Arabidopsis thaliana: one gene and its partner. The protein of the gene in region 2 interacts with the protein of the main gene of each other region in a pairwise test. Each region holds a gene or a part of one and is shown on either strand. Other genes may lie near its edges.

Evidence for each region. Proteins that work in one complex are often made in the same cells at the same time.
Region 1: the proteins of AT4G17430 (region 2) and AT5G07475 interact in a protein complementation assay, tested with the Arabidopsis thaliana proteins (one large-scale study listed by BioGRID).

Annotation. Positions count from the first base shown.
Region 1 is NC_003076.8:2,363,504-2,367,388, forward strand, and holds AT5G07475 (Cupredoxin superfamily protein), read right to left. Parts: upstream 2,103-3,885; 5' UTR 2,034-2,102; coding exon 1,856-2,033; intron 1,725-1,855; coding exon 1,324-1,724; 3' UTR 1,203-1,323; downstream 1-1,202. Other genes in the region: PMSR3 (peptidemethionine sulfoxide reductase 3), read right to left, coding at 427-783; KUOX1 (KAR-UP oxidoreductase 1), read left to right, coding at 3,664-3,885.
Region 2 is NC_003075.7:9,723,478-9,729,374, forward strand, and holds AT4G17430 (O-fucosyltransferase family protein), read right to left. Parts: upstream 3,358-5,897; 5' UTR 3,325-3,357; coding exon 2,858-3,324; intron 2,781-2,857; coding exon 1,724-2,780; 3' UTR 1,233-1,723; downstream 1-1,232. Other genes in the region: AT4G17420 (Tryptophan RNA-binding attenuator protein-like protein), read right to left, coding at 47-85, 210-388, 478-517, 606-665, 919-966; AT4G17440 (chromogranin (DUF1639)), read left to right, coding at 4,371-4,943, 5,051-5,182.

The DNA.
Region 1 (3,885 bases), on a different chromosome or scaffold from region 2:
GAAATCCAATGCTAATCAATGATCATGAACAGAACAAGAAGAACCTCTCTGAAATCCGTATCTCTACCTCAATTAAAAAGGGAGCAACAGGGGAGAGATTACAGAGCTACTACATAATCTGGATCATACTAAGATCAACGACCAAAGTTACCAACTCAAGCCTCATAATTCAACAAAAATCAAGATTCAATATCATTTCCTTCCTCATATTCTACTTAGATGATCAAGGTTCCAAATTTAAAAAGTTTCAAAGTAAAGACTGGTGATGAAAATCAGAAAGCTATCAGATTTGAGAAAAATCAAGAAATCCCCAAAGCACAACAGACTCAGGCACATCCCAATAGATTCAATAATCCTAAAGACAGAATCTTTCTCAATCCCCGAACTTGAAAGGTTAAAACTTTCAACTCTTGGATCCAAAAATACCTGGCGATTCAAAGTGGTGGGATCATGCCTAGACCAGAACAAATCAAGCAGAGACTCATAGGTGCAATCGTTAAGATCATATTGAACCCTAACAACCTCCGAATGGCCTGTGGTACCAGAACAAACATCTCCGTATGAAGGATTGTCTACGGTCCCTTGGGTGTATCCAGCCTCGGTCTGAGTCACCCCTGGGACTCTCTGAAACGCCAGCTCGACACCCCAGAAACATCCAGCTCCGAATTGGGCAAACTGATTCCCCGGCGCCGGTGTGTCATCGTCATTTCCCTGAGCGATCGGAGAAGGATCCATATTGGTTTGCCCACTTGATCCCAAACCCAATCTGTTGAGTATGTTCATTGAGAAATTTCTAAAGAGAGATATGAACAGAGGAGAGGAGAGAGATGCTGCGAAACTCAAGACGTGTCTTCCGGTAACTAGCGTTTGCGTTTTGGTAGCGATCACGATTAGATAGTGATAACCACAACTTTTAATCGCAGTGAATCATCTGTGATATAGATACGGTCAAACGGTGAATTTACTACACCGAACCAGATAAAATTACCTAAAATATAAACCGATATCGGTTATTTTTTGAATTTTCCGCTATCGAATCGAACAAATACAAATTCAATGTAGTCAAAGAATCTAATTCCTTTTTTTTTATTATACATTGATTGATTAATAACTTTAAGCATAACGTTGTTTACATGTCATTTTTGTAAGAAATTTGCTGAGCAAACAAAACGAAATTTGTATAACGAACCAAAAATTTAGGTTTTAATTTGGTCATGAACTCAAACAAAAATAAAGAAATTCAACAAATAAATACTCTCACTCATTATAGGGCAAATATGAATACACATATACATGAAAACACTTATTATAGATAGTTTTTAATCAGCAAAACCATATGAATGGAAAAGCAAAAACCATAAAATATACAAAAATTCCCATGGTACCCCTCCAACCGCTGTCGCCAACAAAACGGGCGGCTGAGCTAGCGACTCCGGTCGCAGGGTTATTCTTTTTAGAAGATGGTTGAAGAATCCCTGAAGTGGCGGCTTGGGGAGATCCCACGGGAGCCTGAGATGGGCCATTGCCTTCAACATTGACTAGTAACCTCATACCGGCGAAGCAATGGAGCCTATTACCGCATACAAAGAACCGGTTTCCCGGTTTGGAAAGAGCAACGGTCGTGTTCCCGTTTGTGAACGTCCGGATCGCATCTGTTGTGTTGCAATTTTGGTAGTTGTCTTTAGCCACTTCGTATACACTATGCGTCGATGAGTATTGGAACACTTGCAAAAACATTATACACATAATTAATTAGACTAATTAGTTCATTAAGGGAAACTGTAAATTAATTTGAGTTTTTAATTATGTAGTATATATATAGTTGGATGAAGCCAACATGATCAAAGATACTTACTTAGAACATCACCAGGAGAGAATCGCTTGCCTGAAGTCCAAGACTCGAGATCGGAGCTTATGTCCCAACCGGAGCTGTCTCCTACAAAGTATGTCGTTGCGTTACATCTTCTTATTACTACAACCCCAAATATGATGCAGAGATTGAAAAGAAATTGTATCTTCGACGTCTTCTTCATAGTGCACGCTGTTTGTATTTTCTCAATAAATTGCGTTTAATTTTCTTGTATTGCTATAGTTGTCTATATGCATATGTGTGAATGGAATTATGGAAATATATATGTTTTTATATAAGGCATAGGTTAAGGTTGCTCATTGGTGGATAACCTAACTTCACAACCACCACAACATATATGATCTGCTTTGTTCCCTATAGCCTTTTTTTTGTTCTTAACAAATTTTTCGTGTTTCACAATTCATATGATTCATATGCTGTTAGTTAAAGTCCACAACCCTAAAATGGTTAAATCTTGATGGAGATATTGAAGCAGTAATTCATATTTATTTTTTGTTCTTGATTGCACAACATACAAATATAGGGAAGATTTTAATGGCCAGTAAATAATGCTTGTATTTATATATGATCTTGTGGAATGGTGATATTAGTTGTTATGTACTTTTCCTTTTCTCGAAAATACTTGCAGAGGGCTTGGAATTGGCATTGAAGGGGTGTTGAACCATAACTCCTCGACTAATCCTGAGTGTTTCTCTTTACCAAACCTACCTAATAATATGCGTCCAGAGAATTTCCCTTGTAACACTTTTTATAGTTGTTGGAGCATCAGAACTAGAACATGTATGATCGAAAAATTATACTAGATATATGGTTTAGCCTTTTGGGATAAAAAGTTAAAATATAGTCGAATTTTTAAAACATGTACAAGAAAACAATTCTTTTTGTCCTAAAATATAATTTCTAGGATGAACATTTTGTTTGCAACTTTTATTTACGTATTACGTATTTATAAATTAACTAATATACCCAACGAAAAATAGTACTAATACTGTATATCACTAGAAGCTAGGTAGTTGTATTTCGATGAAAAATCGATGTAATATTATTTCTTAATTGCTAGTTGTGTTAAATTATGATTGAAAATTCTCATTTTAATGTCAGTGACAATGTGACATCAGACATTTTTTTGTCTTTCCCAAAGGAAGATAAATGCCCATTGCATGAAGGAACCCGGCGCAATACATTTTACCTAGACCTTACGCATGACCGTATATAACAATTTCATTATTATTTTTACAGAATTGTTACAACTCAAACGACATATATATCGAATTTATCTGTACATGCATTCACATATGTGTCCAACATATTTATGAAGGCTTGAAATCCGGACAAGAGGATGCTTTTTTGCGGAAAGCTTCTTTTTGTTTTTTAGTAGTTGGGACTATGAATGAGATCGAAGTCTCCATTTAAAAATTAAATCCATGTTAGTGTTCCTACTTCCTACTATATCCCAACATCTTATTAATATCCCTCGTCATATATGAATTTGGACATTCTTATACATTTCGTACAACATATGGATGTTCATTATATTATCATTTTGATAATAAAGTTTAGTTTCTTATTGGTACACGATAAACAATTGACAGTTACACATGCTCTAGATATTCCAAAAAGGAAGAATAATAATTTAGTATTCGACCGTCATATTTTAATATATAACTCCGAAATATCAATAAACGACTACAAGCCTACAAACCTTATATATAGAGGAGCCACTCACACTTTCATTTTAGTTATCCCTTCACAATATTAACCGATTTCTCAACACTCAAATTCAAATACCAATAATGGAGAAAGGTGAGGATTCAAGCACATTCAAAATGGGGAATTCTGCACAAGAGAGGAGTTTACCGTATGTACCTGACTGTTACGTCGTCCCGCCTTCTAGCAAACCATGTGACTCAAATTCCGGAATCGTACCCACTATCGATGTTTCTCGGCTGAAAGGGGGAGATGATGAACGTCGAGGGGTTATTCAGGAGCTAAGTTTGGCATGTCAACATCTTGGT
Region 2 (5,897 bases):
GGAGGAAAAAGCTGAGAGCCAAGCAGCTAAAGATTGACGGCTCTACCTGGCATAAGATGTCCCCACCAAACATTGCCAAATCAAGCTTCACGGAAAGAAACAAGCCAAAGGTCACCAAAACACATAAGAACGAGATAAGGAGATATACTTATATCAAGCAAGATACTAAATACTACGGAAGGAAATCATGGCAAGTAAGAACCACTAACTGGGAGAATCCTTGCCAAAGAAGGTGCAGCGATACCAACAAATCCATCGTTTTGCCCAGTGTTACGAAGAACTATACTACTAACACTCTTTCCTAAAATCCATTGTACAACTCCAACTTCTTGTTCAGGGGTATAAGTATTATCCATCTCAATGGACCCAGACATGTAGCACATTGAACCTAAAGAACCATATATAATCAGTTAACATATACAATCCAACCCAACAGATCTTACAAAACTTAATGAGGAATCATAATATGGAAATTACCAGGCTTAGCAATGACCTTCTCTTGTGGTTTTAACATTATCTGTCAAAAAAACAATCAAATGCTTGAGTATATATGTCAATCACATAAACACAAAATGCCCAGACTACAAAATAAAATGTCGACCTACCTGAACAACCTGTGCTTCACCACCCAAAATTTGGAAAGGTGTGATCGTATCTTCTTGACTCTGCATCATATAACCACTTGTGAGATTCATACTCCCACAGACACATTCAAGAGATCAATTTCTCACCCAGGAAATAGCTTATTAGCATTATCACTGAATTAGATGTAAGTACACATCACATTACTCAACACCTACATGAGAAAGGATCCTAAAATACTCGCGAAGAAGTATATTCGAACACTAGCCTTCTCGATAGTGACAGACAAGAATACGAATCTAAGAGGCGAGAAGAGAACGAAGATAGAAGACAAACCTGATAGACATAAGGCTGAAATGGAGTAGAGAAAAACGGAGCAGCCATGGCGGTGAAAACCGCAGAAAGATCTTCCAAACAAAAACCTCCGAATCCAAATTTCCACAGAACCAATTGGATTAGAAAACCTTTCACGTCGATGCGAGACGATCAGATCGCAGATCCAAATAACACACTCGAAACACTCTGAGCTCTCTCAAAACTCCGGTCGAAATGTTCGCGGTGGATGTCACCGACGGGAACCCAACAAAACGACAGATTAAATTCGCTTAAATCGGCCTGAAGCTGCACGTGGAATCTGTTTACGTGGAGAGATCTCATTGGTCACAAAATACACATCGACGTAAAATTTCATTTCCGGTTTAATATAATTACATTTCTTCTCAACCAACCCTCTTTCACTAGATTTATTTGGTACAAAATTTCTTATTCAATAGCCGGTTTAAAGACATTGGTACAACAATTACAAATCTTGTCGACCACTAGAGACATCTACAGAACTCACAAAACCTTTACTAAGCAACCATCCCACGCAACCTTTACTCTTCCATTGTTGTGTGTGAATAATCAGAAAGGAACCAAGTAGCTTCATCTATTAATAAGAAACTTAGATAGTTTCCCAAATAACTTAACAACACAAAACAATTTAAGAGCCTGTTTTCATCACCAATAACTTCAAGTGGAGACAGATGACAGATCTATCATCTATCTCTATCCATCTCTATACAAAGACCGGCAAAACTTAATAAAATCACTACACATTGGCTCATCCACCAGATGAATCCAATAGAAATGCAGTCTGAGTTCAACTACTACTACACGCATTGTATTTCCTCATCATCTCTACACTATCAGCTATTGTAGACCCTGGAGTACCAACAAAACCCAGTGAAGCACAGCTACAAACAGCTTCCTCTATGTAAAGCTGCACATTGGATCCTCCATGAGGGTAACAATGGGTCTGCATCTTTTTTATACTATCAAGACTCATCGGAATAGACCCAAATTTCTGGCCGTGACTCGCTGAATCAAGTTCATGCTCTGTTCGCGCTAAGAATTCATCTTGTTCCCCTATAAAGTGGAGCTTGAAATTTGTAGAGTTCTTAGACAAATCACCCAAGTAAGTTCCGGTCCAGTTAAATTCAGGAAGGTCTGTCATTACAAACACATTAATTAGACCAGGATTCTTAACGCTCAAAGCTTCCAACTTCTGATATAAACCCGTAAAAGTGCTCTCCCGATGATTCTTGAACTGGCCATCTAGTAATCTAAGTTGTGCACAAAGAAACGGCGCCTTTATGGTTTCTGAAGCAAATTTCTTTCCCGCGATCATTATCTCTCGAACAAAAGGAAGGAAATCGACCTTCTCAACCAAAGATTTTATCTTTGGAGATTTATGGATATCGATATACAGCTCTGAGCCTTTGTATGGAGCTGTGAAGAGGCTCCCAAATGCTAGAATAGCTGCAGACTCAGCTTCTGTACCATGTCCAAGAGTCTTATACACATCTCTTCGCCTTCTCACGTTGGACAATTTCTTTTTCTTCTTGAGCTTCTCATCAGGCTGGAACGAATCTAATCTCCCATCAGCTTCTCCATTTTTATAAGTCCAAACAGTGGTTCTACAATCTTCATCCACAGCATACAAACATTTATCTACATTACCACGAACTCCAGATAACAAATAGCCACACTGTTTCAGTGACTCATAAGCCTGAGACTGTTCAGCTAAATCATCAGTGCATAGAGTCTCCAAGTCAACACCACACTGTAGTGATGCAAAGTACCTAAAATCAATGACTCGAACAGCCGAAGAAGATACCAGCGACGAAATGTCTACAATATCAGCCATCGAAACGTACCTATAAACACCAACATTTGTCACCCACATTGATCAAATTACTAAAACTCATTACGAAAAAAAAAAGAGATTTTGTACCTGTCAGTCTTAAGAAGCTCAATTGAATGATTCCAAACTGAGATTCGTATCTCGCTGGGACTCAAAACCCTAAATTTAGGACAACTACCGAGAGCAACGGCGTGATGATCCAGAATCGGAGGAATAATTAGGGTCCGATTAAGAATTCCCGCCATAAGAAGCGCATTCTTAAATTCCGATAGCTGATTACTGAATCCACTGTGAGGAGCGTACCAGAGAAACTTCTGACCTAGAAGAGTTCGGGTTAGTATCTCGGATCTGCACTGAGGGAATTGAACGGATCCAGAAAATGCAGAGATTGAGAACAAGGACTTGGGCATCTCGGAGTAAGTGATGAAGAAGACGACGATGAAGAACACAACAAGTATAGAAACGGAGCAAAGAAATATCGCAGATTTGTCGGTTTGCTTCTTCCTGTTTGGCCATGGACGTGGGCTTGGTCTACTGGGATTGAAGAAGTTGTTCATGTTTTTTGCTCTGAGGTTTTAGTCGCCATCATTGCGTTGCGTCTAGTTTTGCTCATGTGTAGAAGATGCCAAAACGGTGAGTGTCACTGTTTTGGGCCTAACTAATATTCTCTGATGGGCCTTAACTAAAATAATACGAACTTAAACATAGTTAATTTTAGAAATCTTTTTGTAACATAATCTATACGAAGCTATTTGCGCGTCCACATAACATTTTAAACAAGCAATGGAGATTAGATATCTTGCTAATTAATATTTATGAACTTATTTTTATTTTTATTCTTTTTAAATTTTTGTAAAATAAAATAAAAAATATATGAAAATAAAAGAATATTTAAAAATATAAAAAATTTCTAAATATTTTGTCACCAAAATAATATTAAAAATATCAAAATGTAAATTTCTATTTTATTAAATTTATACACAAAAATAAATTTAGGTCTTTGGACCTAACTAATAATATTCTTTGATGGCCTAGAGAAATCGAATTCACTAGATGATCTAATATTTGTTGATTTTTAGTCCAAAATCGAATTCACTAGAGAAATTAACCTATTTAGCACTTACATGAATATATTGATCATCATTGATAGACTTAAGCAGTTGTAGTCTTTTAAGCTTTTTACGGGTTCTTTTTTTTCTCTTCTTTTCTTTAAGATCTCTTTATTTATATGTCTAAATCTAAACGTAATTTTCTGGATTTATTGTTAACATATATTAATCCCCATATCAGAAGGATGATAATTGATGTTGATATATCAGGATATAAAATAATTAACTAATGATTTATTTTAGCCAACAAAATATAACATACTTTTAACAAATCGTGATCGAATAACAATAAATTCTAAATAACACTTTAAAACACTAAAAGTCTTTTGAAATCATAAACCAATAACACCCCATGAATAAAAACATAATTAGAAACTTACGCATGCATCAGCTTCCGTAAATCTCCTACATCTCTCTCTCTCCTCTCTGCTTTTTACCTTCTAGGGTTTTTGATCATCTCTCAGGTGAATACGTTTTGGTATAATCTCATACCAATGTCTGCGAATTCCAAGTCGGAGAGGTCTGCTTCTCAATCGGCGGAGACGGTGGCTGTTTCTAACCGTGTCGTGGCGTCACGGTCAAGTCGTCAGCCGCGTCTCTCTTTCTCCTCCTTTGCTCCCTCATCAGAGCACGATAACCTGAAGAAGCTGAAATCCGATGAGATTTCTCCCGCGAGAGAGGAAGTGCCGGTGTCGGTGAAGGAGAGAGAAGAAACGGAGGAGGAGGAAGCGAAGAGGACGTGGAATCTTCGTCCGAGGAAGGCTTATGGTGGTTCGAAGAAAGGAAACGGCGTGTTCACGGCGGAGGTTTGCGGTGGCGGCGGAGGAGGAGGTTCGGAGGTGAAGAATCAGAAATCAGGCGCAGGAATTGAGCCGAAATCGAACAGGCAGAGAGGAATCCCGGCGGAATCACCCGGATTAGGCGGTGGTGAGGTTGCAAACGAGAATCATAGGCTTTGGGTTGCTCTAGCTCGAGACGAGATCGAAGAAGATTTGTTCAGCATGAGTGGGAACAGGTCATCTCGCCGGCCAAGGAAGAGGGCAAAAGCTATGCAGAAACATCTCGATGTAAGTCACCAGGTGTTCGACGAATTGCCTCACAGAGAATTCAAAACAATGACTACGTTTTTTTAGTGTCTCCATTTTCTTAGGCAATTCAATGTCTGCCATTGTAGGTCATTTTCCCTGGATTGGGTCTCGTTGGGATGAATGCTGATTGCTTCAGAGTAGCCACTTCTCCGGCTAAGGTTAGCTTTGATCAGTCCACTTACTTGCTCGATGAAAGCTTGGATCAACCTGCCCTTTAGCTACATTGATCTGTAGATAGTATGAAATGGATGAAAGTCTAGACCTTTAGGTGCTATTACAGATTTTATGAAGTTTCATTCTATGTTAGCTTTACGTAACCTAATGGTACTGCTGCTTTAATGATACAAAACCCGTAACAGCGATTGTATTCCATTTGCAGTGATGATCGATGCAAAGGAGTCTTTTGGTGAAGGAAAAAGGTGAAGTCATCTCCCTAATTGAAACTTATCATTTTCATGGATATATGGTAACGTTGTTATGATATTACATTGCTTGATCTTGTTGAGGTTTGTGCTTAAGTAGTTGGATTTTGTTTCTGCTTTGTTGCAGGGTAGATAGGTATGCTGGTGATCGAGAATCCAGATACATCACAGTAGAAGCTAGGAAGAAGATATCTCAAGAGACATGTTCTTGTCTCATATCAAACTTAGTAGTAACTAAACTATAAGTAAATATCGGTAAGGTCATATAATTATAGATATATATAAAGAGAGAGAGCGAGAGGGGTTTGTTTTTGAGTTAGTAATTAAGATGCGTCTAAGTTTAATGGCAGAGGAAAACAACATAATCTATGTTTAAAAAGGGTTTTTTGAAACCATTTATAACTCTTATTAGCACAGACAATGATTTATTAAACCATATATAACTCTTATTAACACACATAGTTAGAAAGTGTATTAAGATCCATATAAGTTTTTTTAAGTACAATAAGGT